2 linked regions of the Caenorhabditis elegans genome follow. The protein of the gene in region 2 purifies or fractionates together with the protein of the main gene of each other region. This does not show direct contact. Each region holds a gene or a part of one and is shown on either strand. Other genes may lie near its edges.

Region 1 (3,292 bases), on a different chromosome or scaffold from region 2:
AGAAATTTGGAAAGGGAAGTGGATTTAAATTGCTGTGGGAACAGTCTGAATTCTCCTTAAAATTTAATTTACCGGATTATGAAGAAATTTCCCAAATTCCAGTAGGCAAGCACGTTTCCTCCTACTGTATTCTTGCCTGCCTACAAGCTTGCCTACTGCCTAGGCATCTGAATTTTTGCAAACAATTAAAGGATCGGAAATAATTTTGCAAGTCTATAGGCACGTTTTGTAGGCAGGAATCAGGTGTAGGTCTCCTTACAAGGCAGATGTGAATTTTTACGAAGCAGATCGGGTCTCACTACAAAACGTGTCGGTTACTGTAGCTAGCAAGTTTTCTGAATCTTAAATTTGATCTGATAGTGAGCAGATAAAAAACGTTAGTGGGAAATGTGGTCTCACTTTGAAGATCAAGTTTCAAATTGAAATTTCGAATAAGATTGAAAAAATCTACCATAACCATTAGTTTTCATGGCGAGACCTCTCATGAATCATGATTACATTTCGAAGATTTTGGTATGCTGATTTGAAATTTGTAAATTTTGAATCAAACATTTTTTATTAACAAATAAAAACTTCAAAGTGAAAAATTCAAAACGTCCACAAATTAAATTTGACATCCAGATTCATATTCTTCTTATTAATTTTCCACTTAACAATTTTTTTTTCTTCCAAATGATCCAAAGCCCACACTAACGGCGTGAAGCAGCAGCTCTCATATCACGCAATGCTTTCGGAGCCTTATGAAGATTGGCGACTAGAGCCAAATATGGAAGACGGGGTGGTCTTGGGGCTGGTACCCGGATCTTTCTGGCTCTGGGGACTTTTGGCCCTTGTGCTTCAGAGCCTTGATGTGGTTTTTCCTTGATGCTTCTCAAAGCTTCCAACTTTTTTTGAATCTTCAGTGCTTTTCTCTCCAGTTTCTTATCTTTTTTGGCTCGTTTCTGCTCCTCTCGACTTCGTTTTAAGGTCAGTTGAAGTTCGAGTTTCTCCAATTTTTCCAGCTTTCTTTCCGGAGTGTTTTCCTTGGAGCGTACCCTTTTCTGGTGTTTCCCAACATTTCCCAGCTTGGATCTCAGTCGTTTCTTTCCACCCATGTTATTCTTCGGGGCTCTTTTCTTCCCAACTTTCACGTCATCTTTTTCTGAAATTTGCGAATCTCATTCGAGTATGTAATATAATCTGCCAAACGTAAACTAGACTTATCACATAGATTTATTACGATAATTTGCTCGTCAAATCTGTTGTTTATAAAGTTTTCGCGTCAAATTTGCGTATTTGCTATACCGTTCAGTGAACTAAAATTTTCCGAACACTACAATCGACGCTCAACACTAAAAGTCAAATGTAATTCCTTACTAACCTTGCGTACTCATAGCATCTCCCAAATCCTCCTCCGGCTCCACCTGTGGCTCCTCCACCTTATTTCTCTTAAGCTTTCCCACTGTAAATTTGAGCATTTTCAAATTTTTCTCGACTTTAAAAACTTACACAACTTCTTGCCCATTGGCATTTTCAGTTCAAAGCAATTGATTTTAGCAGTACAAGTAACCACTGAAATTGCAGGCACTGAGGAGGGTTTTTGTATCAATTTCTTATCAAAGAGTTTTTATCATCAATAATGTTTATAAGTGTGGAATTCTGAAATAGTGATGTTGACTATGAGTAAGGTAGTATTAAAATTGAAAATGTCATGTGAAATGGGAATGTTGACAGGAAAGATTATTGGAAAGTATGGGGAAATCGTGAGACCCAGAGGGAAAAGATGGGTGACGGGATTGCGAAATCAAAGTGTTGAAATTTTTAACTACAAAATTCACTAGAAATATGCTTAACAAATATTACACCCAAAGCATTTCAGCATTTCGAAAATTTTAACTTAGGCAATGTTTTAAATTTTTTAATATTCGAAATTTTCATTAACATTTGATTTTTTCAGACTACTGCCAGGTACAGCAACCCTCGGTTTTTACTGTGTGACCAATTTTTATCGATGACATAAAGTTATGGTATATTTATATTCAAATTTAAGTTTTTAAGTTTTCTGATTTTTAATCTTATGAATTACTATACAATTCAAGATTTAAAACATCTAACAGCTCATCGTCGTCGTTCAACATCTCCCCAACTCAAATTCAAATCTAGAAAAAGTGCTTTTGTTCCTTACAAAAACCGCCAAAAGGAATGAGTAACAGATTGTCATATCACTATCCCATCACATTGCCGCCGGAAATTGGCAAATAGAAAAGGACGACGGGTATTTGAATTCAAACTGGAAAACATTTTTGTAGTTGGAAGAGTCGAATAGTTTTGGCAAAGTTAATGCAAATCTACCTAAAAACCTAAAAGAGATGTTATAATAATTGTGTATTTGTAAAAATCATGGAAGCCGACACTTTACTGATCATATTTAACTTTAAAAAAATCCTTTTTCTCACATTTTGTTGCCTGAAAACTTGAAATATTTTAGGAGTGAAGAAATTTGGAAAAAATCAATTACCGGTAATTACCCCCTATGTTCCAAAAACATTTAAAATCCTCTTTCCCCCATTCCTAATCCATCTATTCATCATCATCTCATCAATTGTTTATGCACCTGTTCAGGAAGTGCACATAACATCTAATTGTCCAAAAAGAGTACACAAACCGGTAGAAAAATCGCAGTTGAAGAGCCAGTAATCTGTCAGTAATCTGATTGGAATTCGAGTGAACAAATAAAAACAGGTGTATTGGAAATGTTCAAGTAATTTTAAATATCACAGAAACGTAATTAGACAACATTTTCTGCTGATTGATGGGTTGATATTTTAAACCTACACAATCAAAATTCGTATTTTTATTTTCAAACGAGTAAATTCAAATGCTCATGCTGTGAAAGTCGTCTGAGAGCTTGCTGTAGCAAATCACAGAACATCCTTTGGCAATATCTTCATCTTTCCGTTCAGGTGGCGCCAAGTCATTCATCAAAGATTTCAGTTCGGCTTTTTGAATCGAAAACTGAAACACACGGATTGTTAAGTCTAAGGATATTCAACTAACGTTTGCTCCAGCTCTCTCAATACATCCCAAAATATCCAAACGTTGGAACAATGTGTACTGCCATGGATGCTCACGGAGCAGTTCAGTTGCAGTTGTCGCCGCCTTTTCATTCAAACGAACATCATCAAAATCGAGAAGAGCTGGAAAATGCTGTACTATTCCTAAGGAGACGAGAAGATACGTTTGATGCTCATCTGCAGTTGCCAATAGATTTCCAATAATCCACAGACATTCCTGAAATAACCATAGATAATTT
Region 2 (6,996 bases):
TTGCATCTTGTGTTCGGGACGATCGATCAGCAGTTGCACTGGCACGTGTTCTTGCTGCTAGACTTATTCAACTTGCAAATGAAGCGAACAAACGATACAGTACTGCTCATTCTCAATACCTATGTGCACTTGCTGGGGAAGAAGCTGCTCGTGTAGAGCTTTATGAAAACTCTCCAGATGATCCTTTAGTCGACAGTAATCCAAAAACCTGGAAAGATGCAGTTACATCACTTGGAAGAGCTGGAAACTCGGTACCACAATCGGCGCAGGCCGCCATTCCATTTGTTCGAATGAATGATATTGCCAAACTATATTTCGGAGCTCAGTGGGTGAATAATTGATTTATTGCATTATTTTTCTTATGGGTTTCATGTTTTCGCCGTCTTCTTTTGTTGTGTGCCGTGCTTAAAAATTGTGATAGCATCTTGATTTTAAATTGTAAAATAAATGTAAATTCGTTATAATTTTCAAAAAAATAAATTCTTAGTATCTGAATAAATCTAGAAAAGAACAACTATAAAATCCACTAAAACCCTTTATTTACAATCAAGAAAAAGAAGAAAAATCGAGTAGATCAGTTGAGATGTATCAATCTTCATCAGTTCCAGACTGTTTTCCAGATTCTGAAGAGCTATCACCAAAGCGTGCAGTCTTTTTCTCCATTTTCGACTTTGCCTCTTTCTTTAGTTTTCCAACCCATCCACCGTCATCAAGACTATGAATTGGATAACCAGAAGCAGATGACGATGTATATAAAGTCTTGACAAGATTTGCGTATTCGGGAGTTGTTTGGAATTGAAGACTGTTGATGTAAATGATAATTGGTCTCAAACTGATTGGAGCATAGTCGTATTGAGCTGTAAATTATTTGTGTCTTGGGAATTTTAAAGACAATTAATGACTATGAGTAGTCAAAAATCACTTTCCCCCGTTTATTCAGTAACTAACCTTTACCATCGAAAAATAATTGCTTAGCCTCTCGAATTTTGACTCGATCTCTCTGCTTTTTCCACGAGACGCCATTTTTCGGATCAAAAATATCAAACACCATATAAATCCAGCATTCCAAGTCATCTTTGCGTCCTTGATCTACTTCTAGCATACAGGCTCGTGATGCATATCGAAGTGTTCCCAAGAACTTAACTTTTTTACGTGGAGCCTGAAAATTGATTCATTCACTAAAATTCAAGTTGCACCATGTTTTTACCCTGTGCTGTTTGGTTTTCGGATCCAAATAACTTCTTCCAATTCCGAAATCAAGCATGAAGACGGTTGACTCTTTAGCTCCAACACCAACGGCAAAGTTGGCTGGCTTTATGTCACGATGAAGATATCCAAGATTGTGAAGATCACGGATGGACTGAAACGATCAGGATTAGTGTACAAAAAGAAATGGGTTGGCACGTCTTCAGGCATACGTGCCTATCTCATACCTGCCTCCACACCTATCTTATGCGTGTTTCATGCCGCGCGCTGATTGGACTATGCGATTACCTCATGCCTACATCATACCTACCTACCTACAGGTTTACTTCATGCTAGCATACCTGTCTGTCTCATTCATACGTACCGCGTGCATCATGTCTGTAGTTGTGCCTACCTTATTACTACCCCTTAGATGTCTGCCACATGTTTGCTACTTGCCAACCTGCCTTCCTAATGCCTACCCCATTTCATCCTACATGCCACGCCTGCCTTCAGCCCAAATTGCTACTAACCTCTAAAGTCTGAATAGCAATGATGTATGGAGTAGAAGTATTCGAAAGATTGACTCCAAACTTTCTTCGGCAATCATCTAAAGAAGGACCAACAAGACTCATAACAATGTATTTGCACTTCAATTCTTCACTTTTTCCACGATCAATGAAATCCACAAAATGCCTGTTAACATCTCCTTTTGATTTTTTCCGTGCATCCGAAATTGTGATCATCACTTGCATTTCAACTTTCAACCGGAGCATCGCCTTCTTTCCACCTTCACTTTCAGTTTTCAGTGCATAATGAGTTTTTTTGGGTCCTTTTGCCTTATCGTCAAACACCTTGTAAACATCTCCAAATCCACCACTTCCAAGTAGCCTTACAACTTTCCACGCATATTGGCCATTGGTGATGACGTCATCGGGATTCATTATTTTACGAACAGGTCGTGCTGTTTTGAATCTGAAATTGTTAATTCATGTTTTGAATAGAACTATCCCTTCGGAACATTTGAACGCCTGTACTCTTTAGGAAAAAAGTTTAAATTAAATTTTAGCAATAGTTCGAAATCATTGTAAAATCCTGCAGGTTTTTTGTGCTTTGTGAACTCGGTACAAAAATCTCGCCCAACTAACTCAAAATCATCATCTCCCGAACACTTGTTTCCAGTTGATTTTTCAGCTGCTGTTTTGATTGCAATCTCCTGATTGACTGGCGTAATTTTCCCAACCCAATCACATGTTGTCATATCATGACCCTTTGATTTTCCCACATTTTGAACAATCTCCTTGAATGCTCTAAAACTTATAAAATATATATGGCTAGTTTTATACAAAGCATACGCATAATCTGGAAGACTATCATAAGAATAACCGTGAACGAGGTCGACGAGTTTCTTGAATTCTTCAGGGACTTTGTCATAAGTATGTGCTGAAAGTTAAAGATAAAACTACAGACTCCAGAATCCTAAAAAAATTAAAACCAACGCAAAACATGATATTTGAAGTTTTCCTTCTCCTTGATCATCATATTACATCTTGGCGACTTTCTCCAACTCAGCCCATTTTCCGGATCAATAAGATCATAAATCATATAGATCCAGGCTTCCACGTCATCTTTTCTTCCCTGATCCTTCTTTTTCAATCCAGCAATACTTGCATAACGTGCTGTTCCACCGTACTTCAAACCTGTACGAGCCGGGCGAACCTTTTTTGTGGATGGATCAATATGAGTACGAACAAGACGATAATCGGTCATGTAAATCTTCGTTTCTTCTTCATTCAATCCGACAGAAAATGAAGCAGGCTTTATGTTACGATTCAAAAATCCAGCTTGATGAAGATATTGAATAGCCTGAATGTAACAATTATTTGCTATATTTCGTTTCAAAAGATGACAAAATCTCAGTCATCTGTCTTAGCTTTATCAAAAGACTCTGATAAGCTGAGGGAGTTCAAATGGAAAAAAAAAACATCAAAATTACATCTAGAGTCTGGAGGGCGACATTGAATGCACAGGGAACAGTGAGAGCTTTCACAATCCTCAAAATTTCCAGAATTTGCAGTGAAAAAGGAGAAATTATCCAGTACTGAAAGTTAATTTGAAATCTAAATTTGATTAAATTTGTTCAAACTTACATTCAAATGTTGCGTTTGACAGAATTCAATATTTCGAAGAACTGGCACCTTTTCTTGTCCAGCAAACAACTTTTCCACTTCTGCTACAACGTCACTACCAAACTTCAATTTTCCACGATTAGATGGCTCCAGGCGGACAATAAACTTCTGAAGATGTTTGATGAATAACTCGTTTAATAACATATAAATATTGGTGAGGTTATCCATATAATTTCGAAAAATTGCTGCTTCTTCACAACTAAGTTCTTACGACATTCACGCATGGCTAAAAAAAATATCAAGTAGATGTTCTGAACTTATTGCACTACAATCAAGCTTCTTCGATTTTTTACGTTAGGGTCACGTGTGCTCGAAAAAGAGCGGCGTATAAAAAACAGAGCATCCTGAATGCACTATCAGAAAAACTGTTCTGTATTTAAATACGCGTATTTGAAAAGAATAACCGAAAAATCAAAAAATCAGAAAATTGGAATGCAGCCCTGGAGGGAACCTCCTTGTTAGCCTTAGATTATGACGTCTAAATCATATTGACGAATCAACTGTTGTAACGTCAAGCTACCAGCAATCACAATTTTCAGATTTCCAATTAGGATTCCACAACGGCTATCCGTGTTTAGCCAGCTCACCTCGTTCTTCTCATTGACTGCATTAAACTCTCCAAGGTGAACAGGATTTCTCAGATGCTCTTGAAGCTTAATTTCTCTTCCTCCTACAATCTTCAAAAACTTTTTTGGCTCTTTTTCTTTCTTTGTCGAGGACTCATCATCTTTTGATGCGCTATCAGGTTTTTTTGAATCGGCTTCATCATTCTTTGAACCTTTTTTCTTTTCCTCTTTTTTGTGGTTTTTGGATTTTGTGGATTTTACTTGCGACATTGTACTCATCTGAAAATGTTGTGTTAAACTAGATGGCGAACAATTTAATGAATAATAGCCCCAATCATAATCAGGAGTCCTCGCAGCAATGGTCGCTTTTTCTCGATCGCGATGTGTCCATGTTTCTCACTGATACATTATGCACACATCGCAAATCAAACATGATTTTAAAAAATGACGCCACATAGGTGAGTATTTTTAGAAATATTTTTCATTCGATACAGCTGTTCGACCTCGGACGTGAACTTTAAAACATTGAAAAAGCATTTTTGAATACTATTTTGAAACTGCGAAAGTCTCGAAAATACTGGTATCATCAGAAAAGTTGTTTTAGCCCTACTTGTACACTTACAGTCGTCCCCTTCTTTGTTGGATCTGACACTGGTACGGGTATTGGTGTAACGGCTGACGGAGCACCCATTTGAGAAGGTGCACCCATTCGTGAAGCTTCTCGAGATAGTTCCTTTGTCAAATTCTTTTTTCTATTACTTCTTGGAGGTGCCTTTTTTGGTTCTGAAAAATAACATTCATGATATAGGGCATAACATGGAAGAGCATGAATAAACAACTCTCTACCTACATGCCCATCTTCATGCCACTGTCTGTACCCTCATGTCCATCTGCCTGTATGCTTACCTATTACCTATCTCATGCTTGGCCCATGCCTGCATTACATTATTCCATCATTCTCATGCCTACCTCATGATTGACAATGCACAAGATTTTCTCAGACTTGCTTCAGTTCATGCCTGCCGTTTACCTGATGCATGAGTACACTTGCAAGCTAACCTGCCACGTAACAAAATGATAAACTCACTTTTGATTGCCGGTGTACTCATTATTGTTACTTGTCAACTAGACAAAGAGAACGAAATCAAAATGGTGTTTCTAGAATTTACAACACTGTAAAATAGGAATGATTCAAATATCTTATCGATCTTTGAATCTTCTGGTTTTTTTAGTTAAAACGTGGTAAAACATTACAGGGCTAATAAAAATTATTTTGTTTAAAATTTAAATTATTAAAGTTATCATATTTTTTAAAGAGTTTAAGAAAATAAGTTAATTAAAATTGATAAATAAAACTGTTGCTCCTAGAAGATAAATACTGGGGAAATATGGTACTTTTTCTTCATAAAATAGTACGAATCATATGTATACATACTTTTCCCTACATCTCATAATCCCGTAATTACTCATTCTTCTTTTCATTTGTTTCTCTGTATATTTGAGCTCAAACCACAAAAAAAACAGCGGAGCTATTTCAAAGTATATCAGTTTCTACTTCTATTCATTCGAAAAGTAAATCAAGAAACCCCAATATGTTATATAAAACAAGGAAATAACGAAAAAAGTTGGTTCAGTGGTGCCAAGTTACTGCAAAAACGAAGGTCGAGTTGTATCATACTTACAACTTTTAAATTCTAAACAAAATCTCCAGTATTCACCATATAATTTCTAACTCATCGGCATTTCCCTAAAAGAAACTTGGAACACGGGGGAATATTGTTATCACTTGTTCTCCTTTTATTCTTTTTGTCCACACCATCATCTCTATTTGTTTAACGAATCTCTTTTTTTGGGATGCCTCTTTCAAATCTTTCTTTTTCACACATTCAATGCGTTTGGCTTCAAAAACTGAGGCCTGCAAACGAACATTTATTTTTTCTACCATTCGGATATTTTTCCTGTTCACCAAATGACCTTGAAATTTGCTTGAATAATAACAGACTTTAAACTTGGTTCCGAAAGTGTTAGTTTGGGATTATAAATTACAAAATCTGTTCTCAAAGTCAACACTTGATTTTTATTACTTTATGAGTCACTAAAATCTGTTTTGAAATTCTCCTTCAATTGACTTCATGTTTATCCCCCTCGACTTGTCCGTTTTTCCGTTTCTTTTCCACATAAAAATCATGATTTTTCCATTTCTTTTTCACTCAATCTGAATGATTCTCTTTCAAACACAATCATTCCATAAGTTCTATGTTCTGTTACCCTTTTTGTGCATAGTATCATCTCTAACAGTCTAGTATCTTAAGGTTAATTGAAATATTGTAATTTGACAAATGTCAATCATTAATAACTTTCATATAGTTTTGCAGTTAAACATTCTGTAAAATATTAAAAATGTTCCAGTTTATCTTGATTATCCAGACATGTATTATACGTTTTTCATTTTTCAACTAATTTGCTCAAAAATAGAATCTCATGAGGTAAGGAATTTCATTGATTATAATGTTGAATCATTAACATCATTCCCGTCGCTTTCGTCACTAATGTCTACTGGGAAAGAGTGAATGAGCTTGGTTAGTTGGTTAGTGTTTCAAAAGAGCAATTTTTCAGTTTTTTCAAAACGCGATAGATAAATCAAAAGTGTGTTAAAAATTTAAGAAAAATCGAACCACGACCTTTTCGAGTTTTTGTGCTTCCAAAAATAGAAACTCTGCCACCCTTGGTAGGAACAAAGAAGGCGTAAGCCACCTCGGAGATAGGCTTTTATTTGTAAACTTGAAATTTCTTGATATATTTTTTTTTTTTGAAACCTTCAGTTACAACTCCGCTGGCTCCAAGATTAGCACATCATTCCAAATCTACTAGAATGACCCTACAAACGTGTTTTCACCGTTTGCTGCTCACTGAGCATCATAAAACAGCTGTCAGCAGTGCTTGCGCGTGAACTTTATTTATTGAGCCGAATTGATCCAGTTTATGGGCATTATAAATTATGAGGGATTTTCTTGGTTACGATATACTTCTTGAAATCGTAACCGATTTTGAGAATT

The links. The genes of interacting proteins can lie anywhere in the genome.
Region 1: the proteins of H05L14.1 (region 2) and F53B2.8 fractionate together in Caenorhabditis elegans (co-fractionation; one large-scale study listed by BioGRID). This does not show direct contact.

What each region holds. Positions count from the first base shown.
Region 1 is NC_003282.8:12,525,710-12,529,001, forward strand, and holds F53B2.8 (Coiled-coil domain-containing protein 86), read right to left. Parts: upstream 1,688-3,292; 5' UTR 1,511-1,687; coding exon 1,489-1,510; intron 1,442-1,488; coding exon 1,361-1,441; intron 1,142-1,360; coding exon 690-1,141; 3' UTR 522-689; downstream 1-521. Other genes in the region: F53B2.5 (Importin subunit alpha), read right to left, coding at 2,854-2,994, 3,037-3,270.
Region 2 is NC_003279.8:7,971,951-7,978,946, forward strand, and holds H05L14.1 (Protein kinase domain-containing protein), read right to left. Parts: upstream 5,129-6,996; 5' UTR 5,050-5,128; coding exon 5,028-5,049; intron 4,724-5,027; coding exon 4,563-4,723; intron 4,220-4,562; coding exon 3,962-4,219; intron 3,483-3,961; coding exon 3,336-3,482; intron 3,287-3,335; coding exon 3,182-3,286; intron 3,052-3,181; coding exon 2,685-3,051; intron 2,629-2,684; coding exon 2,541-2,628; intron 2,496-2,540; coding exon 2,334-2,495; intron 2,161-2,333; coding exon 1,719-2,160; intron 1,361-1,718; coding exon 1,208-1,360; intron 1,160-1,207; coding exon 949-1,159; intron 858-948; coding exon 589-857; 3' UTR 523-588; downstream 1-522. Other genes in the region: rbg-2 (Rab3 GTPase-activating protein regulatory subunit), read left to right, coding at 1-341.